Tamandua tetradactyla: one gene and its partner. The protein of the gene in region 1 purifies or fractionates together with the protein of each later gene. This does not show direct contact. Links are inferred from orthologs where the notes say so. Each region holds a gene or a part of one and is shown in the gene's direction. Other genes may lie near its edges.

Region 1 (16,640 bases):
TCTAGGTCTATAACTTACTAGTTATGTGACCTTTACATATTTAATCCATCAAATCAATTTCTTCATCCATAAAATGAAGATTAGAACAGTGCTGTAAGGACATGCTCCAAAATATTAACAGCAATTATCTTAAATTGTTGGGATTAAGGATGTTTTTCATTTTCTGCCCTTTGCTTAACTGTATTTCAGATTTCTTTTGCCTATAATTAACATATTTTTTGCAATTTAAATAAGGTTACAGTTTTTAAAAGGTCTATCAATGCTTCTATAAACATACGGCATAATTTCAGATTCTATTAATGTCTGTGGATATTCTGTTAATATCTGTGAACTACAACATGGGAATGGATTAGGGGAACAAATATTTTATTTCTATTTTTCCCTGTATTGAAGATGAGATATACCCACTGAGAACTTATCATTTGCAGGGCACATAGTGGGGTTCAAAATTGGAAAAGGTATAATCTGTACAATAAAGGACTTTACAATTACTGGAATAGGATTCCAACAAATAGACAAATAATTAGAATGCATTCCAAGTCATAATGGGACAAACATTTAAAAAATAGGTAAAATACAATGAAGGCTACCTGGGTTCTTCCTGGGAGAAGAAAGATCTTATTAGATTGGGGGGGATCAGGAAAAGTTTCCTGGAGGAGCTAGCTTTATGGATGATCCTTAAAAAGTGGGTGACCCTAATAATTTCACTCACATCTCGGGGCTTACTGATTTGCTTCTTAATAAGGGGAACATTGGTCAAGAGATAATAGCTGAGATTGCAGATTGATGATTTGCATGGAGAGGAATCTCCCTGTCATCTTCTATAGCTGCCAATAACCTCAACAGCTGCGTGTTAGAAAGTTCAGAGGAAAAAAAAAGTTTTTGTCTCATCACTGCTGGGAAATTCAGGGTATGGGATTAATCATATTTTGATTCAGTTTAATTGTTTGTATGTGTGCAGAGTTTGTAAAACTGAAAAATGGCTGTCAAGGTGTATTTAAAATCATTTTTCAACCTTGTAGGTATAAAAATTACCTTCCTTATTTTAAAAATCTTGAGCCAAACTTTCATCTTTTCCTGTTTCCACCTCAAATGGCCCATTTTATGCATATATATATTAACCACCCATGAGAATACACAGAAAATTTGATTAAGCCAAATACACAATTGTACATGAAAAAAATGTCTTAATCTGAGGTTATCATCTTTTTCTCTCAATGGGAATCTCTAACAGAAGGGCATATTGACAGATTTTTAAGATTGCCAAATTATAATGTACATGAATTTTTATGTCAATGATTTCATTGTGATATTTTCTGAAAGATTAATTTGTTCTTGGCAATGCTGAATTCATACTTTTCTCAATTTCACAGGAGATTGAAAATTAAATCAGAAAATTTAAAGGCAAACAAAAGTAAATCAATGTTAATGATAAAATATGACAAAGGCTACCAGTTAAACACTGCACTGTGAAATCAAATATCTCAATCCTGGTCTCTAGAAAATGAAAAAGAGGAGACCTTTGTCTATTAAGTTTTCTGTTTCTTGGAGGGCAATCCAGACAGTTAGAGAGAAGTGTCTTCTGGCTGGAACACCAAAATATGTTGCTGGACTTTGGTTTCCAGGTTCTTGACTGCGCTGCAAGAAAGAATTCAAGGGTACTGAACAGATAGAGCAAGCAAGTAGGAAATTTATTAGATACAAATATAAGAGGACATACAGGCACTCTTGCAAGTAAAGAAAGATGGCAGGCAAGAGCCAAACCTGGCCTCTAACAATACAAAACATCTATCTTTCTGATAACCACAGAAAAAAAAAAAAAAAAAGCCTTGGAATTGATGGGCATTTATTTGCTTCAGTGTGATCTGGGGAGTAAGGAAGTACATGTATATTGCCCACAAGAACTTATGCAAATTTAGAAAAGGAAAAGAAAGGGGAAAATAATTCACATATATCTCCATTCTCAGGAAATGGAAGTGGTGGCAACATCACCCTCCAGATATAATCTGTTCTGTTACATCTCAAATTACCAGGTCATATACTGCTTTTTTTCAGAGTTATGAAGTAACTAGGATAATTAAGTAAAATTTTCTTATGAACTTTTTTTTTCCTCATTCATTCATTATATTAGCTTCCTCGGGCTGCCATAACAAATTGGGTGTCATAAATAAGATAACTTTATTGTTTCACAGTTCTGGAGGCTAGAAGTCAAAAATCAAGGTATTGGCAAAATTATTCTCCCTCAGAAACCTGTAGGGAGACTCCTTCCTTGCTCCTACTTAGCTTCTGGTAGGGTGCCACAATTCTTGGTATTCCTTAGCTTGCAGGGGCAGCACTTCTTCCCAGGTGTATGTTCCTGGGTCCAAATCTCTCTTTTCTCATAAGGACACCAGTCATAACCCAGTTTTGCCTCATTTCAACTAATCACATGTTCAGAGACCCTATTCCCCAAAAAAGGGTAACATTCACAAGACAGGGATTTAGGATTTGAACACTTCTCTGTGGGGTACACGATTCAGCCTATAACATCCATTCATCCAACATGTATTTATTTAAAATCTATTAGGTGCTAGATACTGAGACTATAATAGTGAGTGGAGGGACGATATGATTCCTGCCCTCCAGAAATTAGAGTTAAGTTAGGAAGAAGAATAGAAATTAAGGAATGATGCAAATAATTGAAAAATAAGTGAGAAATTAGAGCCATGGTAAATGTTAAAAGGAGAGGCATATGGTGCCAAGAGAAACTGATAAAAAAAAATCCACTTAGAGAAATATACTCGCCCATCAAGGAAATTATGATTCACCAAGGAAAACCAAGAGTTGGCTTGGTGACGAGGAAGAGAAGGAAAGAGGAAGGGAATTCACACTGAGGAAGGCCCTGTGTAGGAGAGACGGGGCATGCTAAAGGAACTTAGAGAAGGCTCCCTGCATGTGAGAGGAAGTAGAAAATGGAAGATTACAGGAGAGGTGGGGGGTTGAATACATTTAAAAAATTGTTTTCTGTCTTTTCTTTATCTTTAGAGCAGTGGGAGGCTGTTTAATTATTTTAATCAGAGGATTGGTATAATCAGGTTTTCAGCTTGGAGGGACTCCAGCTTTGCTTTGAGGAATGACCCTGAGGAAGAGTGGTTAGGAGATTCCCAAGTAACTCCAGGAAAGGGATAATAGTGACAGAAGTGGGGGGAGGGGTTGTAGAGAAAATGGGGAAAAATGGATTTTTCAATGAACCTTCCTCCATGTTAAAGGGTCTCCAGTTTTGGCAAGGCTGTTGGTGGGAGAGAAGATGTTCAGCTACGCTGAGTTCACCCACTTCCTGCATCCTGAACAAGGGATGTGGGATGGGCGTTTTCCTAAAAGACACATCCAGAGGCAGCTTCAATGCTGGAGCAGTGGGGGTGAGATTTAGGGTCCCAGGATTAAACAAATGAGCCCTTTGACGTGGGTTCAGGAGTAGGGTTTCAGGAAGTATTTACTTTTATTCCCAGTGAAACTGACCACCTGCCTCTGCAAACAATTGTTTTCTCAGATGAAGGAATTCATTGTATAGCCTGCTGGAAGATCTCCTGGCCAGCAAGCTACACAAAATCTAAGACGCTGAAAACTGGACGTAGTATGATCATATAAGTCATTCCGGCCAGGACATATCTGAAAGAGAAAAGGGGGTTCTAATAATAATTAAATTGTGAAAATAGATGTAAACCAAAATTACCTTGGGTAAAACTGGTCGCCCTAGCAAGAAGGGAAACTTGAAAGGTCCTATCCTGCTCCCACTAGTATCCTTTTTGCAAATGAGATGCTAGGTAGTTCTCTTCCTGGGCAATAGTGGAATGCAAACGCTGGCGTTTGGTGAATCCCAGGTCACTTTCATTTTTCCATTTTCTGCCATACTTGATACATTCTGAAAATAACATTTCCTCCATTATCATTCTGTGATGGTTGACCGTTTACAATTATGCACGGACTCAACCCCAGGAAGAGGCAATTCTAGAGCCTTGCTACTGAAAATGGAGCCAACTCCAAGGAGTGCAACTCAGGCCCCCCCAGACCTATCGAATCAGAGGATTCCCAGGTGGCCCATACACGCATTAAATTTGAGAGAACCTGATGGACTTGGTATATACCAGTAAGAAGACATTTTCACAATGTGACACCCATACATATATACATAACTGAACATAATTTTAACGAAGTCATTACTTATCCTTACTATTTTAGCGAAAAAACAGGCTTCGACTCACGAAAACAGATTTCAGGATTCACTCATGGGTCCCGACTGATAGTTTGAAAAACACAACTCTGTAAAGCACCCAGGAACAAACCAAAGGTTAGGACTTGGGAAGGTGGGCTTCGTGGGGGGACTACAGAAAGTGTGGACACTTCCTAGGTTCAGCTGCTTTTCTGACAGGCCTGCCGTTAGTCATTCTGCGCAAATAACTTGGAGAGTGGTGTGGGAGGGCGGTGAGGGGCAGCTGAAAGTTTGCCAAAGCCCTCAGAGGGGCTGGTCCAGGGGAGATGATTGACAGCTTTGAGAGAGAGCCGGGACTGAAAGCCGAGGAGAGGGAGAAGGCTCTCCGGCTGCGAGAGGTCCTGCCCAGCTGTTGGCGAGGAGTTTCCTGTTTCCCCCGCAGCGCCCGGGTGAAGTTGTGAGTGAGTCACTCGCCGCACGGACCGACAACTCCTCAGTGCGCGCACACGCCCGGGGCAGGAGCCAGCCTCCTGCGCAGCTCCCCTTGGCCGCCGGGGGCCCCCCCGCGCCTCGCCAGCCTTCGGGCCCCCTCCGTGCTCGCTCGCGGGCGCCACATCTGGCCCGCACACTAGGCCTGCGGGCCCGGCGCGGGGTTCGGAGAAGGCGCGGCGCGGAGCTGGCGAAGGCGCAGCCAGGGGACCGGGGAGGCGCCGTCCGCTGCGCTCGGGGCTCGGTCTATGACGAGAAGCGGGGTCTGCCATGGGTCGGGGGCTGCTCAGGGGCCTGTGGCCGCTGCATATCGTCCTGTGGACGCGCATCGCCAGCACGATCCCGCCGCAAGTTGAGAAGTCGGGTGAGTGACCCCCCAGCCGGGGCTTGGCGGACTGACTGGGGTCTCCTGGGCTCCCCGCCCCTTCGAAGTGCTTGACAGTCGAGCCGGAGCAGCTAGCGCTCGGGCGGAAACGGGAAAGTTTCCTCTCGCGGCACCCACGCAGCCCGACTCCGGTAGCCGCAGGGGTGCGTGAGTTTTTCTTTAAAAGAGAAGGAAAGTTAGAGTGGAAGGGGGCCTGGGGCACGTCTGGCCCGCATTGTGCGAGTAGGAAAAGGCGTTGTGTTGGCCGCGGCCGAGGCGAGCCCCCACCCCCGGAAAGGGAAGTTTGAGAAGTTGGTTTATCTGAAGAAGGCAGGGAAGCAGCGGCCCGGAGCTGCAGCCATCGAGGCCGCCAAGTCAGCTCGCACACCTGGGGTCACTGCGGGCCGTGGCGATGCTGCGCACCCACCTTCTTCTCTTCCCGAGACACCCCTTTAAATGGCCATTTATTCCCTCCTTAGCGCCTAAGAGTGAAAATGCATTCCCCAAGGCGGGCTTCTGAGCTATTGGATAAAAGTTTCAAGAAAAGAAATGATTTTCAAAGCAAAGTTATCTGGCTCCACTGACATCCTGGCGTTGGATGGGCAGTGGGGATGGTCAGATGGAAGGCTGAGTGCCTACTAGCTGCTGGGGATGCTGCTGAGAGGAAGGCAGTCCTGCCTGCAAGGAGTTGGTGATTCTCTGCAATTCTTGTTTCGGTTGGAAATGAAAGGGTTAAAATTGTGCCTCGGCTGCCCACCAGCTTTTAATCTCTACAGTTTTGGGGGGGGGGGGAATACAGAATTTAGGTTCCTAAGGTTTTGTTATGCAAAGTGTAGAATCTCTGAGACCTCAAAAGCTAGAATTTTTGCAGCTAAGGGCCACATAACTGATTATCTGCAGCTGTGGTCTGAGTAACTGAGTATTTGGGCAAGTCATATGACCTTTTTGGGCTGCATGCAGTTTTCTCACCTGTAAAATGACACAGTTGGATTCAGATTAGATAACTTGATGTCCCCTTTATCTTTAACATCTTGTGGGCTCTTTTATTTCTTTTGATGGCTTGGAGATGGCCTGTGCAGATTTGGGATGAAATTTAGAGGATGACACTCCATATCATGGGGAGACACAGTTTACACTTACCTTTAGGGTGGTGTGGAAGGTGGTAAATTTCATAGGCTGCCTATTTGAAGTAGACCAACGGTAACCTGAGGGTGGGAGTTTTTAATGAAATGAGGAAGAAGTACTGTTGTAAACAAACAAACAAAAATCCTAACACAAATTTAAGTCCTAAGGGTTTAATAAAACCTCACTGTTTTTGTTTTGGGATGTTTTCCTACAGTGCAGTTAACAGAATGCTCAAGAGTCTCTGATTTTACTCTAGACTCTTAAAAACTGAGCTCTGTCTTTGCTAATAAATAATTAAAAGTGGCACCCTTAATTTTCTGCATACATTAAGAATTAAGACTTTTGTTTCAGATTATGAAAGAAGAAAATTAGTGGGCTCCAATTTTGTTTGTCTACATGGGTTAGGTTTTGTTTACAAAAATAAGATTTATAATTTGCAAATTCTGGGCTCAGCAGTTCATGAGTCAGTTACATTCCATATATATATATACACTTTTAAACAATCAGTTTAAAAGCCTGGTAATTTTCTATTTGTCTTTTTTAACAAACCCCACTTTTATACTTTTATGGAATTAAAGTTTCAAAATAGTTGAAATAAATAATTTTGAATTTATATTCACTTGACCCAAATTAAATTTTCAAAGATGGTTGAAGATTGAGATAGTGATAGTGAAGATGAGAAACCTAATTCTACTTGCATTTTAATTTTCTGTGTCAGGAAATAGTTTCAGTGTTTTCTAACATAGTTGGTTAACGGTCAAATCATTTTTTAAAATATCTTAGAGTAAGATAAGATATGAGGAAATGAGTTTGTTTATAGCCTCCTATTAGGTAAGCTGAGAGTATATCATACCATCATCTGTTTAGTAGATTGAAAAGAGAGTAATAGATTTCAGTACAAGAATAAATTTCACTGCCAAGTATATCATTACTATTATTTGACTTAGTAGATTCGCTCTTCATAAGTACTCAAAATTAAGAAATTACTCTTTTAGGGAAAAATGTAAATGCCTGAAAACTGTTTAGATGTGAAAAATATGACCTTTACTTTTCACATACCTAAAGGATTCTTTACTTTCACATACCTAAACATTCATACAAGTGTCATAAGAATAAATTTCTTTCTGGTTCCTACAATCACATTAACAGCATTGTTACTTCTGTCAGGATCAGAGACTAGGAATCATTAGGCCCAGAATTTGATCTCTGGTCTATTTACTTTATTTCCATAAAGCACATTTCCCCCCCAGGCTACTTCCTTTAGTAACATCTTATTTTTAACCAGTTATAGTTTAAACAAAATACTAATTACATTTTGAATTCAGTGCCGACTTTTCAAACTAGCCATCCCATGGTGACGGCTCCTCTTTATTGTCTGTGTAGTCAGCATAACTGGTAAATGCTTTCCATTTCAGCTGACTGTTGTTACTCAGTTATCCATGACTTTTTAAAATTTTTCTTTATTCCTTTTTAACCCTAATTTTCCAATTAAGAATGACACCCCAGTGCCATTGTAAAAAGTGACCGCTGCTAATTCATTCTCAGCAATGTTTATTAGGGGTCTCCTTGTGCCACACAGGATGCTCAGCCCTGGAGATATCATGCTGAATGAATAAGACTGACATGATTTTTGCCCTCATTGAGTTTATAACATTTGGGAGAGTGCTGCAAGCAAAGAGGATGTACATTTTAACTTGGAAGAATTATTGAATACTGGTGTTTCATTTTCTAGATGCCATTTCCAAAAGCCCGTGCTGTTAAATGCATTAGGATGGAGCGCATGCTGAATGTTTCCTTCTCAGTCCCTCTGAAAATATGTTTTCATTGACAGATCTTCACTTATCTATCTCTACCTTGTTCCAGGGCCCACGTAGGCCACCTTGTATTCCACTTTCCATTCTGTATCCAACGTAATGGACCCCATATGTCCATCCAGCTTTTCATTTGATGTAGGAGAGTGTAGGTAGGGTACAAGCTTTGGAGTCAGGCCATCTTGAGTTCCAGACACATTTCCCATTACTGGCTGTGTAATTTGTTGCAAATTACTTTATCTCTGTAACCCTCAGTGCCCTCATCTATTAAGGGGATTACAGAATTTGCTTCAGGGAGTTTTCTTAAGGATTAAATGAAATAATGCTTTTAAGTGCTTAGCATAATGCCTGTGGCATAGTAATTGATCAATAAATATCAGCTTTGATTATTATTATTATTAACTTCTTAATCTGGCCTAACAAGGCCCCCAGTGACCTGGTTTCCATCTGACTCTGCAGGTCCACCTCCTGCCATGCCCAATACTTTCTCCTCTCACTGATGATATTTCCAGTCCACCCCATCACCATGCACACATGCTGCCAGCAGTGTAGGCAGCTGTGCCATTACTCAAGCTCTTTCCTTTGTCTGGGACTCCTGTCATCTGGCTAATTTGCATTCATCTTTTAAGACTTAACTCAAGTGTCATCTTCTTAAAGAAACCTGCTGTTAATGACCCAGGTAGGGCTAAGTGTTCCCTTCCGGGTACAAAACTCTCTCAGCTCTTAATAACAGTGAAATTATATCTTTACATGACTCACTTGTTCGTTAGGTCTCAAAGGCAAGGGGTGTGTCTTACTCATTTCTCTATCCCCAGGGTCTTCTGCAGTGTCTGGCACATCACTGAGCACCCAGGAAATGGTAAACTGAACCTCCACCTCATCCTACAGGGTGTAGTGCAACTTAGGTCTGGCATTTTAGTGACCAAGCAGTGATTGTGTCTTGGGGGTTTTCTCTGTTTGATAAAATCTTTATTTTCAGTAAAAATCATGTTAACCCTGATCTAAATAGGCAATAAAGAACAGTATTAGTACCTTTATTCTGATGAGATATGGAGAAAGATGTTTCAACTTCTGACAAACATGACAGAGAGCTCCTAGGAGTTTTCTTCCTACTCCGTTGGCTAAACATTTTGAATTAGTGTAGGACATTCAAAGCCATTACAAAACTTTTCGCAAGTTTCATCAAAAAATTGTCCAATAAATACAGAATTCTTTTTTCCCCTAGAATCTAGCCAAAAGGAGTCTTTCATTAAAATGAAATGCTAAAATGTAAATTTAGATTACAAGTTTCTTTTTTCTCATCGGGGTTTAATGTTTTGATCTATAAGCAGTGAAGCAGAGTTGATCTCAGAGAAGTGTGGTACCATAGAAGCCACTGTCTCCTGAGCACCAGGTCTGATGCAAACCAACAAAACCGTTTAAAATAAGCTGCAGAGGAAACTTGCTTCCTGGCTATAGCATGCCATTATTTAGCCAGTTTCCACATAAAAGCACAACTCTATCACCTTGTTAGCCTTTGCCCTTCAGACCTTCCTCTATGGCTTCAGCAGATTTAACTTATGATTTGCGGTGAAAATGACTTAGATGATAAGCGTCAGCAGCAAAAATGCTCACTTCTTATTTTGTACTCCCCTCCTTTCCTTTTAATGGTTTCCTCCCCAGGTACTTGTTGCTTCCAACTGGAGCAAGATAATGATTATTACTCTTCTTTGCCTGGCATGTTACAAGTTTGGAATGCTGTGCAGGTATACTGATTCAGCTCAGGGAGAAGTAGGATGAAGGAAGAGAGGGAGAAAGAACTAGCATTTATTGAGAATCTGCTCTGAGCCAGCCACTTGACGTTACTTATTTCATTTAATCTTCAAAAGGAACTCACAAGATAAATTTTATCATATTTATTTAATAAATAAGGAAAATGGAGTCTGCTCAGTGTCAATTGAGGTTTGCCTCTTTGGTTTGTGGTGGTGCATGTGCATTTGAAGCTTGTCCAGCTTGCAGTCTTCTAGGCTATGTTTCATGGAGTAGGATATGTGTGTGTGCCTGTGTATTAGGAGGGGATTTGGGGAAGGGGGTAAAAAATGTCAAGAGAGAGGAGAAACTTACATCTAGTATCTAATATCATCAACCCAGTGCTTCTTAGTTGATTGACTTGGTTTGCATTGATCTGTCTTCTTCCAGATCATCTTTGTACTAAAAGAAATCAAGATATAGGGTATGGTTTCTTTGCGTGAGGAAACTCTACTGTTTCTAGTCTGGTAATGGTGTCTTGGTGGTGGACCTAGTGTGACCATTTACAGCAGTTGAATTTGCACTGTTTTTAAAAATTTGTCTTCACGACCCCCAATTCTGGGCACTTAGGACCATCATCTTGTAGAGGCCTCAAACAACTGCTGGTTAGGGCAGTAAATGCTGAATTTATCCAACAGAACCAAAGGAGAAGGGGATGATTTAACTTTTGAGGTCCAACTAATTTGAAAACTTGTAGGTGATCAGCTTTTTAGATCTCCACACCCACCGTGGAGCAACTAATTGCCCCTTTGGGTGTAGTTAATACATGGCCTCTTGATTTTGACCTTTATGCTCTGAAGAGTTCTATAACAACTGTAGTTTTTTTTTGCAGGATCAGAGCTATAGATCATTGTTCTAGTTTGTAAGCGATATACCAGAATCAGAATGGTTTTATAAAAGGGGAATTTAAGTTGTAAGTTTACAATTCTAAAGCTGTGAAAATGTCCAAATTAAAGCAAGTCGATAGAAATGTCCAATCTAAGGCACCAACAAGAGGTTACCTTCACTCAAGAAAAGTCAATGAAATTCAGAATTTCTCTCTCAACTGGAGAGGTACCTGGTGATCATGGTGATGTCTGCTAGCTTTCTCTATGGGCTTCTTGTTTCATGAAGCTCCCCCGGGAGTGTTTTCCTTCTTCACCTCCAAAAGTCTCTCACTGCATGGGCTCTCCTAGTTCTTGTGGCTCTCAAAGTTTTTTTTCCAAAAATGTTTCCTCTTTTAAAGGATTTCAGTAAACTAATTAAGACCCACCAGAAATGGGTAGAGTCAGATCTCCCTCTAATCAAAGGTTAATACCCACAGGAGGGTGCGTCACAGTGCTGTGGAGATAATCTAATCACGTTTCCAATCTACAGTACTGAATAGGGATTAAAAGAAACAGCTGCCTTCACAAAATGGATCCGGCTTATTCTAGGGTACCTAATTCTTTCAAACCAAGGCAATCATCATGAAAGATTTAGCTGCAGGGCAACTATCTAAGACTGGTGAGGTTCCAATCTCAGTTGTTAGTGGGAAAATGAAATATATACATCAAATCTTGGCTGAATCATGTAATATTTATGCCATCAGTGAGTTTAGGGATGCTGAGTAAAATAGGCACTTTATTTGGAAGGAGTTGGGGGAGTTCAAGGATGCAGGAAAAATGTAGGGGAGATCTGATGATCCCCCAATGTATATTTACCATGAAGTAAATGAAACTTAGACTTCAAGGCCTCTCCCTAGAAGGGTTCCTTACAGTGTGGTTGATGAATGTCATCCAGCAAAGAATCTTACAGCTCTCATATAAAAGATACTCAATAGAGGTTTCCCCAAATTTGGAGACAATCTGAAAATCTTTCATGACATTCATTACCTATAATGATTTATGATCCTGAAAGAAACTTTTCCAAGTTATTCAATAATAAATTGCAAATTCTGATCAACTCTGCTAGAGAAAAGATTGAATTGTTTTTCTGTTCTCTCTATAGAGAATATTGCAGAATATCATTGGAAGAGGTGATCAAAGAATATGCAGTAAAAAAGTTGGAAAAATATTTCAGAGATGTATTAGGCATTTAATTAATACAAATATTTGTTTTCTTTTAAGTTTTATATTTGTGGTATTTGGAGTTTTTAAAAAGTCGTAATTTTTTATGATGCCATTTTTCAGTCTAAATAAATAATTTACTTTCACATTTGTATTTCTAGGCTTAAGTTTGTATTTGTTTTTTTAGGTAGTGCTCTGAAATTTATAAATTTGCCTTCACAAGCCCTGGGTCTACATCCAGGATTTGCTTGATGGCTTAAGAAATAAATGAAAAATGTACTCCCCCAGGCCTTACAGAGAGTAAGGCCTGCAATGTTATGTCATCAAGTCAAATCTTTTTCTTTTTTCAGGTTTAGCCAAATCTCTGTTCATTTTCCTAGTTTAGAGGAAAATGTATAAAAGAAATTGCAAAAATATATTTGCCACAAAATGTTACTGAAAGGTAACCCAGACCTGACCCTTAGGTTGAATGAAGAAAGACTGCTCAGGAGAGAGCTGGTGAAGACTACTGCAAACTGTCCTGGGGATCCTGGCTTCTGGTGACCGGGTTAAGTCTCTTGGTGTCTCAAGGTCTCATTTTCCTTCTATGACAGTGACAAGAATTGAACACGATGAGTTCTTCAAATTTTTTCTATTCTGAAAAGTTAGTAGAGGAAATCATTGAAGTTGATTAAGAAACCATTTACATAGTCCTTAACTAATAAGAAAAGAACATTTGTCAGATTTGACAAATATCACGTATTTTATTTTGGAGTCCATTGAAGATTACTACTATTGGGAAAAAAAAGAAGAAGGTAAAAGAAACCATAGTTATTTTGAAAATTTCCCACCACAGGTGTCTGAGCATGCATCCTGAATAAATAGCATGTTTACTTCAGCCAGAACTCATTCCTCCTTACAAAGAAAAAGCTTACTTGGTATTGGTGGCCTATCATTTTTCTTTGGTTAATTATGCCCTTTTCATTCTCTGTTCCCCCACATGGATAAAAATGTCTGTGAAGGATCTTGCTAAGGTAGAAAATTATCAAATGTTGCCACATTTGCCTTGTAATATCTGGGAAAAGAAACAAAGCCCCTGAAGGACTTTCTATGTTCTTCTTGAAAAAAAAAGGAAACTTGTCTGGATATAATTAGTGTCCTGTTGCCGTGCAAAGATGTCTCCACCACTTTTCTTAAAATATTCTCAGAAAAGGCAGAATTTGCTACAGATTGGCAGTTTTCAGACTGCTGTTTTAGGCAGGGGAGTAGCTGCTGGTCCCATAATTGCATTTCCGTATAGTATGTATATAGCACAGAGGAGGAATCCTTTAACTACTGCTTTAAGTGACTCTTTCATTACTACACAGCTCAATTAAGTTTTGTCCTCTAAAACCCATAGTATTGGGTGAAAAAAGACAGTATTTGTTCTTCAAGTATATGGAAAAAAAATTGAAATAGTAACGTTTGGCATTCACTATTCCTAAAGTTAATATTTTTGTAAAATAATTTCTAATCATCTCACTTTTTATTATTACAACTTCTATTATAATGCATTGTAAGTTTTTGTTCCCAGTCTTTTCGCCTTTCTATTTATTCTAATGAGCAATGTACCTGTCCATTCTTTTGTTGCAATCTTCTGTTCTCCATCACCTCCAGCTTGGGGTCCTGCGTGTTCTTCAGGAACCTCTTTCCTCCCTAAACACTCAGATTTCGTGAGTTATAATCCACATTGAGACCCAGCTGTTTTAATTTCTTGAATTATGAGTTCAAGCGTTCTGACTCTGAAAACGATGATTTTCCTATCGTCCCCTGGTAACAGCAACCGAAGGTGTTTTAATACCTTACTGCTATTCAAAAGGTGGTCCAGAGACCAGTAGCATTAGTATCACCAAGAATTTATTGGAAATGCAGAATCTCGTGTCCTGCCTCAGACCTACTGCGTCATAATCTGCATTTTAACAAGATCTGAAGGTTATTCGTATGCCTGTTGAAATTTGAAAAGCACTGTTCTGATAGCATTAAAGCATTTTCCAAATGGTCGCATGGTCTGCAGTGATGCGAGTGGATCAGGCCTGATTTGTTTCCATCAGGGAGGAAGAGGAGGATTGAAGGAATAGTTGCTTCTAGTTTCAAGAGTCTTGACTCCTTCCAAGCTACCAGGCCTGTTTTAATTGTATGTACCCAACACCCCAGGGCTGGCAGAAGAGAGAGCACACTGGCGGCCAAGTTGGTTAAATGAGTCATAGCTTTCAACCAGTTGGTTCCCCAAAGTATCCTTCATGGAGCTTTCCTTTGCTGATTGGCTCTTAGCCATATACTATAGAACCCAAGGATCCTCTTCTACACTGAATTCATTATGTAAACTATGTTTACCTTATTAGGCATGTAACCACAGACCCCCTTGACATATCTAGGCTTTGATTAATTCTGGAACTATTCTATTTTCTCATTTCTTAAAATACACAGCGCTCTGCTCTATGCAAAATATGTACCCAGTAGGTTAATGACTTAGTGACATAGGTTTTTCAAGAAGTGATTCTACTCTTCGACATTTTTTTAAATCCTCCCCTTTTGTCTTGAGAAATTTACTTGGTTGATGCTCAGTGCGGACTCACTAAGAGTTTTTTGAATCTTTCAGCATTGGTTTAGACTGTCCTGTGAGCACTGCTATTACCTTTTTCATTCATTGGCTTCTGTAATTATTCACATAAGGCAATTTTTGCACCTGTTACTTTTGTCCTGTAGAGATATGGGTCCCTGTCAGTTACCGATGCCCTTGAGTCACACGGTAGCCACAATAACCAGTTCTCACAGCTACTTTCCGATTTTTCCAAATCATTTCATTGCCTGATTTTGTTCATTTGCATTTGACATCTGAGCTTCACTTGACAAAGAAGAAAAACTTTCCATTGCAGCTTATATTTCATGTTACTTCCTGTTGCCCCAAATCGCATCTTATTCATCAGAATGATTTTTGAATGTTAAAATCTAGAACATCTTAATCAGACCTTTTATTTATAACAGGAACCTAGTTACGTGAAATACATAATCTTTTGGTTTCAGTTTTGCTCTTGAATTACTACCAGAATGCAAGTCTGAACTCTTCTTTTCTGTCATATGTAAGAATTTCCTAATTGGTTTCTGCCTGTGCACTTCCTTTGTTTATTATCTCTTCAACCTTTGTACATTAACACCAGATATGTGTTCTCTCTGGGCATTATTTTGAATAGGTGCCTCCCCTGCTAAAAAGCCTTTTATGTATCTTTGGTGATTACATATTTCTTGCTTCTTCTTTGAGGTCAGAGGCTACATCTGTATGTGTGGCTCCTCAGACAAGTGCTTTGCATGCAAGTGGGACACACAGGGTTGGCTTGATGAGTGTATGCATAGATGCAATCAAGCTTCTCTGACACTGCCCGTTCTGTTCATATTATGCCTCATACCCTGGCTCCTCTGGAGCCAGGCTTCCTCATGCAGCCTTTTGCTTTCATATTTCCTAGCTTATGACCGTTCTCCCCCAAATTTGCCTGGTCTGTCTTCATGCCCCACAACACCTCTACCCTTTGCCGTAAAGCCTAGTTTGAGTACTACTTCCCTTGATTTGATCTTTCTTTACTAACTCGTCTTATCTTCTCACAGCTTCTATAATGTCTTGCTTCTTGACTCACATGAATGTTTGCAAAGCTATACCTATGTGAGTGTGTGTTTAACTCCCTTACTAGATGAAAACTCTTTGAGGGGGAAACTTCTGTCTGATTCTTCCTCAGCACTTAGCACACATTCTCATTAAAAGGTTGTTGCTCTGTAGATTGAAGACTAGAGATGACTGTTTGTGTGTGTGAGAGTATGAGAGAGAGAGAGAGAGAGAAAGACTACTTTTCACCACGCTTTGTGCCACTGACTTTGATGTGTGTAGCTACCTGTATTGTTTGAGAGAACTGTAGGCTTGTGGGAATTCTCGATTGATCTGACCTTGATAATTGACTCTTTTAGTGGAGGTTTGCTCTTTTTGCAGTCTTAGTATCTCTGAATTTTGGGGAGCTGAGGTCTGTAGGAGTTAAGGGCTGTTGTTTTTCCATCCATCACAGACTGCCTTTGATTCATTTATCCTCTGATGTGTTAGTCTTTTATAGAGGGCCCCAATGCATTATGACTTAAGAGGTCAGAAAAGCTCATAAACTCAATTATACTGCCTGACTCAGGACAGATTGTTGCCACTTACTGCCTTTCATTTTTATGAAACATAGGTTATCTCCTGTCATTGAGATGGTTGGAGAAGGGGAAGCTGGCAAGGTCTTGATGGAATGGAGAATGCCCAAAGGTATTCTTCTTCACGGGGTCCAGCATTCCATATAATTCTTGGTTGCGGTTTTTGGAAAGCCTGTTAAGTGGCACGTTCTGTGTAGACTTAGATATGAAATATTCATTAGTTGGGAGCTTAGTAGAAGGGGTCTCGAAGGAGGGTCTTGAAGGTCTTTCGTTCTCTCCTTTACCCTAGACTATATCAGCTATCCTGCCAAGCCACCCTGAATAAGCACTGCTCCCAGTAGTATGCTTCCCATGCAAACACAATTTCCAGATAAATCTCCCCTTCTGTTCCATGATTTGCACCCATGAAATTCTGGAGCCTCCTCTTTGGAAATTCTGAAGCCACCACTGACTTCGTAATATTACAGACATGGGCTAAGAATGCCTGTGCACCTATGGGATATGAAATAAGAGTGTTTTGTCTTAATATTCTGCACACTTCTTAGGAATGGCTGAAATAGAATTCTTCAAATGGGATACTGTTGGCTGCTTTTTCAAAACCACCCCAAACACTTATCTTCCAAGAATTTGATGTTGATGTTGGTAAGAACATTTGTGAG
Region 2 (16,361 bases), on another chromosome or scaffold:
TTCTCCACATCCTCTACAGCACTTGTCATTTTCTGTTTCATTGATAATGGCCATTCTGGTGGGTGTGAGATGATATCTCATTGTGGTTTTGATTTGCATTTCCCTAATAGCCAGGGGAGTCAAGCATCTCTTCATGTGCCTTTTGGCCATTTGTATTTTCTCTTCTGAGAAATGTCTGTTCAAGTCTTTTGCCCATTTTGCAATTGGATTGGCTGTCCTTTTGTTGTTGAGTTGAACAACCTCTTTATAAATTCTGGATACTAGACCTTTATCTGATATATCATTTCCAAATATTGTTTCCGATTGTGTAGGCTGTCTTTTTACTTCCTTGATGAAATTCTTTGATGTGCAAAAGTGTTTTATTTTGAGAAGTTCCCATTTATTTATTTATTTATTTCTTCAAAGCTCTTGCTTTGGGTGTAAGGTCTAGGAAACCGCCTCCTAGTATAAGGTTTATAAGATACTTCCCTACATTTTTCTTCTAACAGTTTTATGGTCTTAGAACTAATATTTAGGTCTTTGATCCATTTTAAGTTAATTTTTGTATAGGGTGTGAGATATGGGTCCTCTTTCATTCTTTTGCATATGGATATCCAGTTCTCTAGGCACCATTTATTGAAGAGACTGTTCTATCCCAGGTGTGTTGGCTAGACTTCCTTAGCAAAGATCAATTGTCCATAGATGCGAGGGTCTATATCTGTATACTCTATTCGATTCCATTGGTCAGTGTATCTATCTTTATGCCAGTACCATGCTGTTTTGACCACTGTAGCTTTGTGATATGCCTTAAAGTCAGGTAGTGTGAGACCTCCGACTTCATTTTTCTTTCTCAGGATGTTTTTAGCTATTCAGGGCACCCTGTCCTTCCAGATAAATTTGGTTATTGGTTTTTCTATTTCTGAAAAGCCATTTTTTGGGATTTTAATTGATAATGCATTGACTCTATAAATCAATTTAGGTAGAATTGACTTCTTAGCTATATTTAGTCTTCTAATCCATGATCATGGTATGCCCTTCCATCTATTTAGGTCTTCTGTGATTTAGCAATTTCTTGTAGTTTTCTTTGTATGGGTCTTTTGTATCCTTAGTTAAATTTATTCCTAAATATTTTATTATTTTGTTTGCAATTGTAAATGAATTTTTTTTCTTGATTTCCCCCTCTGATTGTTCATTACTCGTGTATAGAAACACTACAGATTTTTGAGTGTTTATCTTGTAACCTGCCACTTTGCTGTACTCATTTATTAGCTCTAGGAGTTTTGCTGTGGATTTGTCTGGGTTTTTGACATATAGTATCATATCATCTGCAAACAGTGAGAGTTTTACTTCTTCCTTTCCAATTTTTATGCCTTGTATTTCTTTTTCTTGTCTATTTGCTCTGGCTAGAACTTCCAACACAATGTCGAATAACAATAGTGATAGTGGACATCCTTGTCTTATTCCTGATCTTAGGGAGGAAGTTTTCAGTTTTTCCCCATTAAGGATGATGTTAGCTGTGTTTTTTTCATATATCCCTTTATCATGTTGAGGAAGTTCCCTTCTATTCCTATCCTTTGAAGTTTTTTCGACAGGAAAGGATGTTGAATTTTGTCAAATGCCTTTTCTGCATCAATTGAGATGATCATGTGATTTTTCTGCTTTGATTTGTTGATATGGTGTATTACATTAATTGATTTTCTTATGTTGAACCATCCTTGCATACCTGGGATGAATCCTACTTGGTCATGGTGTATCATTCTCTTAATGTGCTGCTGGATTTGATTTGCATGAATTTTGTTGAGGATTTTTGCATCTGTATTCATTGGAGAGATTGGTCTGTAATTTTCTTTTATGTAATATCTTTGTCTGGCTTTGGTATGAGGGTGATGTTGGCTTCGTAGAATGAGTTAGGTAGCTTTCCCTCCACTTCAATTTTTTTGAACAGTTTGAGCAGGATTGGTACTAATTCTTTCTGGAATGTTTGGTAGAATTCACATGTGAAGACATCTGGTCCTGGACTTTTATTTTTTGGGAGCTTCCTAATGACTGATTCAATTTCTTTACTTGTGATTGGTTTGTTGAGGTCATCTATTTCTTCTTGAGTCAGTGTTGTTGTTCATGCCTTTCTAGGAAGTTGTCCATTTCATCTACATTGTCGAGTTTATTAGCATAAAGTTGTTCATAGAATCCTCTCATTACTTACTTTATTTCTGTGTGGTCAGTGGTTATGTCTCCTCTTCCATTTCTGATTTTATTTATTTGCATCCTCTCTCTTCTTCTTTTTGTCAACCTTGCTAAAGGTCCATCAATCTTATTGATTTTCTCATAGAACCAACTTCTGGTTTTGTTGATTTTCTCAATTGTTTTCATGTTCTCAATTTCATTTATTTCTGCTCTAGTCTTCGTTATTTCTTTCCTTTTGCTTGCTTTGGGGTTAGTTTGCTGTTCTTTCTCTAGTTCTTCCAAGTGGACAGTTAATTCCTTGATTTTTGGTCTTCTTTTTTGATATAGGCATTTAGGACAATAAATTTCACTCTTAGCACTGCCTTTGCTGCATCCCATTAATTTTGATATGTTGTGTTTTCATTTTCATTTGCCTCAAGATATTTACTGATTTCTCTTGTAATTTCTTCCTTGACCCACTGGTTGTTTAAGAGTGTGTTGTTGAGCCTCCATATAGTTGTGAATTTTCTGGTCCTCTGCATATCAGTTTTTTTTTTTTTTTTTTTTTTTTTTTGGCTTTTAAAAAGGGGAATTTAATAAGTTGCTAGTTTACAGTACTAAGGCCGAGGAAATGTCCCAGTTAAAACAAGTCTATAGAGATGTTCAATCAAAGGCATCCAGGGAAAGATACCTTGATTCAAGAAGGCTGATGAAGTTCAGGGTTTCTCTCTCAAGTAGAAGGGCATATGGCAAACATAGTCAGAGTTTCTCTCTCATTTGTAAAGGCACATGGTGAACACAGTCAGGGCTTCTCTCTCATCTGGAAGGACATATGGTGAACACGGCATCATCTGCTAGCTTCTTCTCCCGGCTTTCTGTTCCATGAAGCTCCCCATATCAGTTTTTAAATTTTTTAAACATAACAACATACAAACACAAACATTCTTACCATATGATCACCCCATTCTTGGTATATAATCAAGAATTCACAATATCATCACATAGTTGTATATTTATCATCATGATCATTTCTTAGAACATTTTCATCAATTCAGAAAAAGAAATAAAAAGAAAAAAGAAAAAAATTCATACATACCATACCACTTATCCTTCCCCTTCATTGATCACTAGCATTTCAATCTACTAAATTTATTTTAATATTTATTCCCTCTATTATTTATTTATTTTTAATCCATGTTTACTCATCTGTCCATAAAGTAGATAAAAGGAGCATCAGACACAAGGCTTTCACAATCTGCCTATTACTGATTTCCAACTTCATTCCTTTATGATCTGAGAAATTGTTTTGTATGATTTCAATCTTTTTAAATTTATTGAGACTTGCTCTGAGACCCAGCATTTGGTCTATTCTTGAGAATGATACATGAGCACTTGAGAAAAAGGTATATCCTGCTGTTGTGAGGTGTAATGCTCTATAAATGTTAAGTCTAGCTCATTTATTGTATTATTCAAATTCTCTGTTTCTTTATTGATTCTCTGTCTAAATGTTCTGTCCATTGATGAGAATGAGGAATTGAAGTCTCTAACTATTATGGTAGATGTGTCTATTTTTCTTTTAAGTGTTTGCCTCATGTGTTTTGGTGCACTCTGGCTCAGTGCATAAATATTTATGATCGTTATGTCTTCTTGCTGAGTTGTTCCTTTTATTAACAAATTAATATTTATTAATATTAAAATAGTGTCCTTCTTTGTCTCTTTTAATTGTTTTACATTTGAAGTCTAATTTGTTGGATATCAGTACAGCTACTCCTGCTCTTTTCTGATTGTGTTTGCATGAATATCTTTTCCCAACCTTTCACTTTCAACCTATGTTTATCCTTGGGTCTAAGATGCATCTCCTGTAGACAGCATATAGATGGGTCCTGTTTTTTAATCCATTCTGCCAAACTATGTTTTTTGATTGGGGAGTTTAATCCATTAACATTTAGAGTAATTACTGTAAGGGCAGTACTTTCTTCTACCATTTTGCCTTTTGGATTTTATATGTCATATCTAATTTTTCTTCTTTTTACTTTTACTGATAGTCTTCATTTCTACACTCTTCTCCACACCTCTCTCTCCTGCCTTTTCCTATCTGTCTCTAGTGCTCCCTTTAGTATTTCTTGCAGAGCTGGTCTGTTGGTCATAAATTCTCTCAGTGATTTTTTGTCTGAAAATATTTTAATTTTCCTTTCATTTTTGGAGAACATTTTTGCTGGATATAGAATTCTTGGTTGGAAGTTTTTCTCTTTTAGTATCTCAAATATATCATATCACTGTCTTCTCACCTCCATGCTTACTGCTGAGATTTCTATGCACAGTCTTATTGGGTTTCCCTTGTATATGATGGATTGCTTTTCTCTTGCTGCTTTCAAGAGTCTCTCTTTCTCTTTGACCTCTGGCATTCTGATTAGTAAGTGTCTTGGAGTATGTCTATTTGGATGTTCTGTTTGGGGTACACTGTACTTCTTGGATCTGTAATTTTAAATCTTTCATAAGAGTTGGGACATTTTCAGTGATAATTTCCTCTATTAGTTTTTCTCCTCCTTTTCCCTTCTCTTCTTCTTCTGGGACACCCACAACATGTATATTCATGTGCATCGTATTGTCCTTCAATTCCCTGAGTCCCTGCTCATATTTTTCTGTTTTTTTCCATTTATTTTCTTTTGCTTATCAGATTTCAGATGTCCTGCCTTCCAGTTCACTGATCCTATCTTCTGTCTCTTGAAATCTAACATTGTAGGTTTCCATTGTTTTTTTCATCTCTTCTACTGTGCCTTTCATTCCTATAAATTGTGATTTGTTTTTTCAGACTTTTGATTTCTTCTTTTTGTTCATTCCTTGCCTTCTTTATATCCTCCCTCGTTCATTGATTTGATTTTTGACAAGGTTTTCCATGTCTGTGTGAACATTCTGAATTCATTGTTTCAACTCCTGTATCTCATTTGAATCGTTGGTTTGTTTTTTGACTGGGCCATAACTTCTATTTTTCTAGTATGATTCTTTATTTTTTGCTGGTGTCTATACATTTAATTTCCTTAGTTAGTTTATTCTGGAGGTCATTTTCACTTTTTTTACCTAGGATTTTCTTGCTGGATGACTTTGTTGTCTATCTGTTCTTTGACATTCAGTTCAGCTTATTCCAGACCTCTAGCTTAGGTTTGGTTTAACAGATCAGAATTTTTCAGTTCTTATTTTCTTGTTTCTTGCCCTGCCTATATGGTGCCTTTTTTTCCCTTTCCTTAGGAGGGTCTACATAGGTATTTTAGACCCCAGTCAGATTTTCCCAGACCAAACTGGCTTCCACTCAGAAGGAAAGAGTCACCTGCGTCATTTTTCTGAGGGTGAGACCCAGCAGGTTGAAAGACTTTCTTATGAAGCCTCTGAACTCTGTGTTTTTCCTATCTTGCCCAGTATGTGACACATGTCTGACTGCAGGTCCCACCAGGATAAGGTGATGCAGTACCTTTAACTTCAGCAGACTCTCCCTTATGGGGGCATGGTGCAGACAGAGGAGAGGTTGTAGGCTGGCTTTAATCACTTCACTTTTCCAGGCCCTGGGGTCTGAATTCCTTGAGGGAAGGATTCCACCTGAGCTGGGCCCCACCCCTCTCCTGGGGAAGGCACAGGCTCCAGACAAGCTCTCAGACAAGCTTAATTCTGCCCATGCCTGGGGCAGTTGGAGCCTGAGAAGTCCTGTAGCTGTATCCAAAGAGCAGTCAAGCCATAGAAAACACAGACACAAAAAGGGAAAGAAAGAAAAAAAAAATCCTTTTCAGAGTAGGATCCCCATTCCTTGGGTTTGCCAATCAAGAGCTTAAGTTGTTATGTTGCTTTGTGTATCTCCAGGTCCTATCTGTCCCCTCTTTTCCTTCAGGGTCGAGACCCTTCCAAATATTTTGTGCTGCCTGATCAAAAAAACCTTTTTTTCCATCAGCCCTGCCCCCTCTGCGCTGGAGCAAAAACCAGCAACCTCAGCTTTTACTCGAGGTTCAGCTGAGCTGAGTTTACTACTTTTTAGTAGTAAGAATTTGTTCATTAATTCCACAGTTGGAGCTTGGCTGTGCTCAGCCCCTCTGGGAAGCTGCCTGTGGGGGATGGGCGCCGGCCTCTGCGGCTTGGGGGACTCCCGGTTCTGGGGGGCTCGCAGCCAGTCCAGCTGGTCCAGACTGGGGTATGCTGTGTGTCCAGTCACTGACATGACCCCAGCAGTTGTTCTGTACTTTTCCTGGGTTATTTACTAGTGGCTCTGGAGCACGAACTAAATCCCAAACCTCACTAAGCTGTCTTGGCTCCCGTATGCAAATATCTTGATTGATTTACTTTGGGAGTTGATTCCCTTCGGTAGTCTAAGGCCTTGTGTTTGTGGGGTGGATGTGGACTCGGATGCAAGGTATGGGGTGGGGTACAACAGTGATACGTTGCAGCCCAGGTAAAGGCGCAGGTTGGGGATGTTACGCTGGTGCTTGAGAACGTGGGCGCCCAGGGGCCAGGGAGGACATAGCTGTGCGTGTGTACAGGTCTGGGGGACGTAACCCTGGTGGGTGCTGGTCTAGGGCGCAGGGCCCTTTGTGTGCATGCGCAGAGCAAGGCATCAGGACCGTGTCCTGCCTTCATGGACTGGGGCAGGTGTGACCTGGCTGCGCAGGTCGGTGCTTTCTCAGAGCTGAGGGCTGTGCACATGCGCGGTTCTAGGAGTGCCACAAACGGATGCTTCCAGAGCTGAGGGGCGTGACTGGTGGCCAAGCGGGTCTAGGAGCATTGTCAGCTGATGCGCAGATCTGAAGGTATGCGCCCGCAGCCTTATTGCACTGTCAACACCCTGCAGGGAGGAGAGATCAGGAGGTAGTGCTCAGAAGGTGTGCAGGAAAGGTAGGCTGGGCTGCACTTGGGGTGGGGGTATGGGGTGGGTGCGCACTCTGGGGGCTGATGAGCGGGGGGCTCTTGGAGCGCGGGGAGTGGGGGCGAGTGATGGTGTTCAGGTGCGTGGGGTGTGGGGTGAGTCGCGGGTCGCGGGTCGCGGGGCTGCACTGATGAGAGTAGCGCATTCAGGGCCCGCGGCTTGGCTTACTTTCTAGTAGTCCCCGTTTCCCCATCCGTGCCCAACTGTGGGCTCCATGCTTCTGCGTTAGGCTCCAGTTTTCTGGTTCTCAATTCCTCCGCCTCTGCAACCAGGGTCGCCCTATGTGGTGCAAAAGGCTCTCCCAGATCAGCTGCGCTCTTGAATAGCCGTCTCAGTGGCCCTCCCATCCCTTCTCTAACTTTTCCTTGGAGCAGACCTGACTCAATCTACCCTATTCAGCCATCTCCCCTGAACCAGAGAGCCTAGGTGTTTTTTAAGGTTAACAGGAATGATATTGGTTGGGCGTAATTATAGGTAGGTTCAGCTTCTCTGCTACAGAAATAAGTTTCATTAAGAGCAAGACTCAAGATCAAAGGCTTGGCCTGTTAACTTGTCTCCCTAGAGTTTTCTACAAGTTCTTCCTCATATCCCCCTGAAGTGGCTCCTGCTTTCCGGAGAATCCAGTGGGTCCTGTTTGTAACAAGGGTGGGGTGGGTTGTTCAGCATGAGGGTGGGGGTGGAAGGGAGGTTTTGGAACAGCCTCCCGTGGCGTCCCTATCTCCACCCCTGGACACCCCCAGCACCCCACCCTGCGATGCCCACAGTCACCAGGACATCACTGCTCCACTCCAAGTTCAACCCAGGTGGTGGTGGCAGTGAAGGACCTGGGGTCATCACCTGCCAGCTGTGGATCTGAGGGGCCACTTATACCTCTGGGAGCCTGGGGTTCCTCCTCTGCAAAATGGGGATGTGAGGGCCACAGGGAGGCTGTGAGGACTCAGAGCTGATAAGGTGACTGCCTAGGGCGGGCCTGGCGTGGAAGGAGCGTCCAGCCCTTGGGTGCTGGGTTTACTGCACCTGGGGCACAGATGCTGGAACTGGGGCCCGGGGGACCCTATAGCTACCCACCTCCCCACTGAAGCCACCCTGTGCCTCATGGTGCCCATGTCCTCATCTCCGCAGCTGCAGGAAAAGACAGTGTAATAACCATTCTGTGGGTGGCCCCCTCTGCCCCCCTCATAGCCCTCCTTGGCCTGCCTTGACTCCATGCCCATGCCTCATGGCAGGAACTGGCCAGGCAGCCATGGGGTTGGGTGAGCTGACCCTTTCCCCAAACCCCATCCAAAGAGACCCGCCCACCCTTCCCACTCCTATATCAGCTCCTGCAAAGACAAACATATGACCTACTCTGGTCACCGGACCAGGCCAGAGCGTCGGAGGCATCTAGGGCCAGGCCTCGGCCTCTTATTCCAGACTAACACCTCCCTCCAGAGGCACGCAGGAATCCAATTTTCTCCCCACCCCCTGGGTCACGATGTCCCCACTGTGATCCAGAACAGATGCAGGGAGAATGGCTTCATCTCCTGCTGGGTACTGCCAGCACATGCCAAGATTTGTCTTCTCAAAGTCAAGCCCCACTGGTTTCCTCCTCCAGAACCTTCCATGATTTCCCATGGCTTCAGGGTAAATTCCTGCCATTCAAGACCCCCTCGAACAGGGCTGGAGTCTGCCTCTCCAGGCTTACTGCCCTCTCCTGACCCTGTCCCATGGTGGGCCAAGCACATCCCACCTCCATGCCTTTGCTCAGGCTGGTCCCCCTGCCCGACCCATCCACCTCCTCCCTGTCTTCTACACACCCCAGACTCACCTAGTCTTTCAAAAGCCAGGTCTAAATGCCACCTTGCCCAGGAAGCTCGGGCTTCTTTCTCTGAGCTCCCCTGGGCCTAAGCCTAGGTTCTGCCCATGACTAGTATCATGTTGGACGCATAGTAGGTGCTTTCTGTTTGCAGCATGAACGGCCACCCCACCTGCAGCCCCAGCCCCAGCCCAGTGCCAGGCTGCTCTCCCAAGTTCCAGGATTGTCTCCCAGGGCCAGGGAACGCTGATGGGGGCTTCTGCGTGTCGGGTTCAGGGCTCGGTGCGGTGCTGCCTCGACCCGGGAACTCTCACCGCAGCCTGGAGAGGAGGGCACTGTTGTGCTCTCACTTTACAAACAGGGTGACAGACGGTTTAGGCGACTTGGCCAAGATCTCACAGCTCAGATCAAGCAGTGCAGGGTGTTGAACCCAGGGCCATCTGAATTCAGAAATGCCATTGAAGGTCTGTCCCATCCTCCTTTGTTTGGGGTTGTCCTTTGTCCCTGGAGGATTTTCCACCCATGGAGGGATCAGACACAAAATGTGTGGCCCTGGGCAGACCTCCTGCCCTCTCTGGGCTCAGAAACCCCAGATCTAGGTGAATTGCTGGGCCGACTTGGGAGTGTTCCTTCCTTACTCTGGGCCTCAGTTTCCCTGCCTGCAAAGCAGAGGGACAGAAGCCCCATGTTATGGTTACCTCAGCCAGCTTTGGACCCTGAGGGGCACAGGTTTGAATCCCAGCTCTATCCCCTTTCTGGTCAACAATCTCACCTCATTGGGCCTCTGTTTTCTTATCTGCGAAATGGGAATACCAGGTTCCCAGGCTGTGAGTCCCACAGGAACCATCTCAGCCAGGGCTGCCTGGGAAGGGCCCCTTGGTGGGCTGTTTGGGTGATTGTTCGCATCTGGTCTCCAGGGGCTGCCAGATGCACCCCCACTGGCCAGACCTGGAGAGGGTGGGGAGGCAAGCTTGGAGCCTGGGCCCTCCCACCCCCGCTGACCCCCCACCCAGGCCCCCCACCCAGCGACAAAGCCCGTGGCACTTCCTCTAACCGTCTGGCAGGCGGCCTGGCCCGGCCCCTTCTCTAAGGAAGCGCATTTCCTGCCTCCCCGGGCCGGGCTGGATGAGCCGGGAGCTCCCCTCAGCCGACAGTCAGACCTCAGGCTCCATCCGTGTCCACGGGACCACCGCGCTCGCTGCTGCCACAGGAGTCCAGTGTCCCCTCCCTGCCCACTTCTTGGCCAGCTGTGGACCCAGGGCCCGGGCCTGCGCCCTCCTGCCCACTTCTCCTGACCCCTCGGCTGTCCCCGCAGAAGGCTGGAGCAGGGACGCTGTCGCTCCGGCCGCCTGCTCCCCTCGGGTCCCTGCGTGAGCCCACGCCGGCCCCCGCACCCACCCACAGCCCTGCCCCTGGACACCGGATAAGGCCCAGCGCACAGACCTCCGAGCGGACAGCATGGACCGTGACGCCCGTCTCCTGGTCGTTGCCCTGTTGCTGGCCGTCTGCAGCCTCAACCCCACAGGTAGGTGTCCAGGGACCTGGGGTGGGGGGACTCAGGCCCGGGGTGGGTCAGTGCCTGGCAGATCTTGAACCCGGTCAGTGCCCTGACCTCAGGCCTGGTGGAGCCTGTCTGGTGTCTTTCCTGGGGGGAGGTGGGGGACCTGGACATCCAGAGGGGGAGGCCACAGGGTGACCGACCATCCCGGCTGCTGGGTTTGGAGGACGCAGGGCTTTCAGAGCTAAAGTGTCTCAGGCAAACCGGGATGAGCTGGTCACTTTAGCTCTGGCCTGCTGGCGTCCCCATCACCCAGCTGCGCGGCCCTGAGGAGCGTGTGGGAAGGAGCTCGGTGCGTGGCACCCTGGGCCTTAGTTTTTGGAGCTTGGGCTCCGGAGTCAGGCTAGGGCTCAAACCTCCACTTCCTTAGCTACCCGGTGTGATCTGGGGGTGCTGCCTTCGTGTCGCTGAGCCCGTTTCCCCAACCTCTGAGTGGGGATGGTGACAGGACTCCCCCCTTGGGGCTGCTGTGGGAGGGGACCTGGCCGGGAGGTGAGGCGAGCCCTCAGGCCTGCGGCTCGTTTCTGTGTTGTTTTATGGAGAAGCGACTCCCAGAACCCTTTGGAACAGCTCGCAAGGCCCTCCCGCCTCTCTGCCCCTCCTCTCCTGGTTAGGGGACCTGCCAGAGCTCCTCAGCCTGGAGGCTTCTCCGGGGCTCCTGGCCTCTTCGGGCTTCTGAAACTGACCAGAGGAGGGGTCCTGAGGAGGTGGGGTGCCAGCCCCATCTCACCTGCCGTGCCTCCGCTGTGTCCTGCCCCTCACCCTCCTAGAGCCACAAGACAGGACAGCCCAGGGCCACCCCTTCAGGGTCTGGAGGAGGAAGAGGGGAAGGAGGAAGCCCTGAGGGGGGGGGGGCAGTAGGGGGAGACGAGAAGGGGAACAGCAGCAGCCACGGCCACCCCCTCCCCATCTCACCCCACCCCTCAGCATTTAAAATTTACCAAACCTTGGTCTCTCCAACTCTCACCACTGCCCCATAATACATGGGGAACTAAGTTTTAGAGATGCAAGTGGCTTAGGGGGGATTAGACCCCAGGCTTGTGCTCCCCAGAACATTTGCTTCTAACCATGTATGATGCGGCAACCCCTCAAAATGGCTCACAGCCATCCTGCAAGCCGGCTGCCATCACCGCCCCCATTTTACAGGAAAGGTAAACTCAGACCTGCCTGATTTCACATGGTTCCGTCAGACCCCTATCTGGGTTCTGACGTGCCTGTAGGTCCGTCTCGCCTTTCTCTCCCATCCTCTCACCCATTTCTAGCATGGTAACGTCCTATTCCACTTGCTCATTAGAGAAAGACCCATGCAGACATTTTGGGTCTGGTTTTACAGAATCAAGGTGGAGGTATGCTGGTGAACAATTAACAACTGGTGACTGGGGGAGCAGGCAAAGGAGGGTGGGAATCTGATTTGGGATGTCTGTCAATTTCCATGGTGTCAATGCTCCCACATGGCTGATGTCAAGTTACCAACTCACTAGCCCAGCCAGGAATTGACGCACAGCAGCCCACATCATGCGGTATTTCCACCACATTGATACAGTAGATAAAGATAACCTCAAGAGCAGAAATAATAGTAAAATGGAGTAAATTATTTAGGAGGTGATGAGTTTCTATGTTTTTAATATAATTTATATAATTGTAAGTTTATATGAGCTACTTCGAAATAATGGCACTGTCTGACAATTAGTTCAGAGAACACCTGGAAATTTTTCAGCCCACTCTTAGGAGCAGGCATGAGCCAGTTCTGGCACACCACGGTTCAAGGGTAACCATCCAGCCCAGCTCACGTACGGCCTGGGAAACCGAGGCCCACGCAGGGCAGATGAGGGCTCCAGCACGTTGCAGAGCACAGGCCCTTACAGGCTGGAACCCAGCTCTTTCCACGCCACGGGTGGGGATGGGGTGACCCAGTGTCCCCATTCATGCCCACAGGGGTCCGGAAACAGGTCCAAAAATGGGTCCAGATTTCTGGGAGCCCAACTCAGCAGCAACTCTCAAAACTTTTAACTATGCATGATTCTTGGTCCCAGCAACTTATCCTCCGGGGTCAGCCCTATGGAGATATTTTCCCGGCTCTCTAAAGATGTGTGACCCAAAGACACCTGTAACCAAAACCCAACTAGTAGAAGCCACCTAATGTATATCAGCAGGACACCTGTTAAATAAATTATTACGGAGAGGTATACTAAGCAGCAGTCGCCAAGGAAAAAGACGGGTCTCTGTGTATACTGCCGTGGACAGATGACTGCAGCACACTGTTAGATCCCCAATATTTCTATCATAATAAAATAGTAAAAATGTACAATATGTACAGAGGAAATTCTGGAAGGCTGTGTACCCAACACTCCTCTTTTCCAACATAAAGGTTTCTCTCTGGGACGTTCACCATCTAAGTCAAATTTTTCTGTTATGTTGGGATTTTTTTTAAGAGCAAGCATATGGAGATATTTAAAAAACACAAAAAACAATTTAACCACTTAGTTGCCTCAGCTTACCCCTCAAAGAAGGTAGATAAGAGAGGAAAACATTATCTCCCAAACCCCTTTGTAATATAGATACTGTTACCATGTTGGTGGATTGCCTTCTAGCTTTTGTCTAGCTTTTTCAGGTAATTTAAATCCAGATGGATCAAATTTGGGTGTCTTACATAACCTTTCTCCTGTCCCAGGAGTTTCCATATTGTCAGATGGACTCCATAATCATCCCGTTGTGGTTCTAGAATATTCTCTCCTTCAAATGAGCCATCGTTTACTTAATGAATCCCCTATTGCTGCATATTTAGTTCATTTCCCCTTGAGTACTGGTTATAAATACCACCTCAACACACGTTTTTGGCACATGCACCTTTTTCCATATTTTGTATAATGGTCTTTGGGTAGAGTCCCAGAAGAAGGGGTGCGGGGGCTTGTGGCCCATGTTAGGTGGCTGGGATTGAAGAATGTTTCCTCTGTGCGGGTGATCGTTTGCTGGAGGATGGAGCAGGGGTGTGGTCTGGGACTTCCGCGACTCATCGGAGAGGAGGACGAGTGACACAGACCAGAGACTGGATAGATCCATCATTTAGAGGCTGCATTTGGGGACAGCTACCCATTTGCCAGGAGGAAAACAAGGTTGGAGAAGGAGCTGGGTGAGCCAGGAGAGGGTGGGTCTCTGCAGGGCCATGGCTTGAAAGCTTCTCCCTTGCCTTAGGCAGGCGGATGGTAACACTAAGGCCCAGAGAGAGAAAGCCTTGCTCAGGGTCGCAGGTGGGTCAGTGCTGGGCCCTCTGAGGACAGCCTGGTCCATTGACTCAAGGACCTGGAGTGAGCTGGAATGTTGAGGGGCAAGAGGGAGGGATCCATCTCTCCAGTGTCCTCAGTACATCAGGCACTGTGCTGGCTCTTTGCCTTTATTCCCAGTTTATCGATGAGGAAATTGAGGCTTGGGACAAGTGGTAGGCTCAGATTCGAACCCAGTCCCAACTTCTTTCCCCTTCTCCAAGCTGGGGCCAAGACTTCAGGCAGCCTGGGTTCCAGAGACTTGGAGAGCTGGTTGCCCTGGCTCTGAGATCCCCCCACCCAGGTCCGGTTCGGGCTCTGCAGGGTCAGCCCTAGAGGCTGAAGAGGAGATTCAGGAGGAGCCGAGCTAGCTTTCACACCTGTGTGTGTGTGGGGGGGGGGTAGGGCTGAGGAGGGGAAAGGGGTTAAGGGGCCAAAGTAACAGGTGACGTTTATTTAATGCTTACTGTGTGCCAGACTCTGCTCTAGGTACGTTATGTGTACTCATTAAAGCCCTGTGGGGTAGAGCATTCCTGTTATTCCCATGTCACAGATTAGGAGACTGGGGCTCAGTGGGTGAAGGAATTGGCCCAAGTGGCACAGCCCAGAAGCAGGCATCTGGGACTCGAGCTCTGGACCTGTTTACAGCCCTGTACTGCCACAGAGAGATGATAGGGCCCTCCCTGTGGCCCCATAGTCTTTTTCCAGGAAGTTGGCCCCTTCTCTTTCCCCTACCGTGACCTTCCCACTTGGAGCACAACTCATGAGACCCTGCCCCTACCCTCAGTAGCCCCGTCAATGCCTTGCCCTCTCTTCCTACTTCCACCCCCAGGCAGAATCTCAGAACTTCAGAATCCAGTGGAGTGTGGAGCATCTCCTGTCCATTGTTTCCTGCCACCCCAGTATCCACATGGAAACTGAGGCTCAGAATGGTGGAGGGATTTGACACAGGTCATCTGGCAAATGAGAGCCAGGCCTGGCAAGCCAATTCCACAAATGTCTGCTCGTGTTTGTCTGTTCCGTGCCCTGGGCTGGGCTCTGGGGACTCAAAATGACTTAGACTTCTTCCTGTTCTGGAAAAGCTCCCTGTCTGCTGGGGGAGGCAGACACACAGACAAATAAAAATGACACACTTAGGCATGTGTGATTCTAGGTGGACGTCCAGGCACCAGTGTCCCTGAGAGGGGAGAAACTGGTTCTAGTGGAGAGATTTCTAGAATAGGGTTTTGAAGGACGAATAGAGGTTGGCCAAATGGTCAAATAAAGGAAGACCATTCCTCTGGGAAAGGGAATGGCAGTGGTAGGGAGCAATGTGTGTATTTGGGGTGAGGGTGGGGGAAACCCAGCATGTCTCCATTGACTGGGCATAATCATGACAATAGGTGTCAGTTCCTGAGCAAAGCCCATGACTCAGGAGCTAGCTTAGCATGGTGCCTGTGTTATCCCGCTGATATTCTCACCAATTCGATGAGGAAGGTTTTATGGTCATCGTCACCTCCATTTTGCAGTTAATGACATTAAGGCATGTAATGGAAGGTGAGAGATGGCAGAATCAGAGTCTGAGCCTTTGGCATCTGTCAGAACCCCAAGCCTGCACTCTTTCAACTCCACTCTAGGTTGCAGTGTATGGCCTTGACCCTGAGGGCACTGGGGAGCCATGAGAGAGGCCAGAGCAGAGGATGGCTGAGGTCTCTCTGATGGCCAGGTCTCAGGGAGAGCTTGCACGGGAAGGAGCAAAGCGAGACTGAGTGGCTGAAGAGGAGGGGACAGGCTTTCCAGCAGAAAAGACCTCTGCCAGAAAGAATCTGCTTTGGTATTCTGAAAGAATAATCACGGGTGTGGTGTACGGAGCACTGAACGCGGTGACCTCCTCAGACTGACACACCGTCTGTGAAGTGGGTTCTGCACTCGGGAGCTGGAGCATCTGGGTTCAAATTCATACCCTGTCTCTAAGTAGCTAGATAAACTCAGACAAATTATTTAACCCGTCTGATCCTCGATCCTAACTTCCCTGATGCTTGACTCTTGTGTGTAAAGTGGGTATAACAATAGTAGCCGCCTCTTGAGGTGCTCTTAGGGCCATATGAGTTACCTCACATAAAGCCTTGTCGCTGTATCTGGCTCCCAGTAAGCATGAGGGAGGCTTTTGCTGTGATAATTGTTGTTTTGCAAATGGGGAAACTGAGGCTTGGAGCGGTTAGGCTACTGCCCAAGGTAACCAATTTCAAAGAGGCAGAGCTGGGATTGATTCAGTCATCTGGTTCCAGAGCTGCTTCTCCCGACCACTGCCGTCCGTGGCCCCCCAAGAGCTGGGGTGGTCATTTGGAAAGACCTGGAGGTGGCCATGTGCTCAGTGGGCCCGCGGGTGGGGAAGGAGGATGAAGGGGCCAGTGGCGGGGAGGTGGTTCCAGGGTCCTTCACTTGGGCGCTGGACACCCAGGCCCCCAGCGGCGCCTCCTCTGACCTGGGTGCCGGGAGGTCTCTGTGTCTCCCTTGGTGCCAGGGGATTGTTTTCAGCTCTGTCTGGACCCGCCTCCGGCTCCGGGAGACGGGCCTGGGCGTCACACTCCCTCCTGTCTCCCCATTCTCGTCTGCGGGGTGGGGGCGGCTGGGATTCGAAAAGGCCCCAAAATAAATGAACCTCTTATCTGATCTCCCAGCCTGGCCTGTTATCTGATCCTTACATAATGGCCAGGCCTGTGG

What was found.
Region 2: the proteins of TGFBR2 (region 1) and ENG purify together in Homo sapiens (affinity purification with western blotting; 3 studies listed by BioGRID). This does not show direct contact. The link is inferred for Tamandua tetradactyla from reciprocal best matches to the Homo sapiens genes TGFBR2 and ENG.

The regions. Positions count from the first base shown.
Region 1 is NC_135341.1:57,539,965-57,556,604, reverse strand, and holds the start of TGFBR2 (TGF-beta receptor type-2), read left to right. Parts: upstream 1-4,518; 5' UTR 4,519-4,948; coding exon 4,949-5,042; intron 5,043-16,640. UniProt on the Homo sapiens protein: Transmembrane serine/threonine kinase forming with the TGF-beta type I serine/threonine kinase receptor, TGFBR1, the non-promiscuous receptor for the TGF-beta cytokines TGFB1, TGFB2 and TGFB3.
Region 2 is NC_135328.1:50,694,020-50,710,380, reverse strand, and holds the start of ENG (endoglin), read left to right. Parts: upstream 1-9,939; 5' UTR 9,940-10,298; coding exon 10,299-10,365; intron 10,366-16,361. UniProt on the Homo sapiens protein: Vascular endothelium glycoprotein that plays an important role in the regulation of angiogenesis. Required for normal structure and integrity of adult vasculature. Regulates the migration of vascular endothelial cells.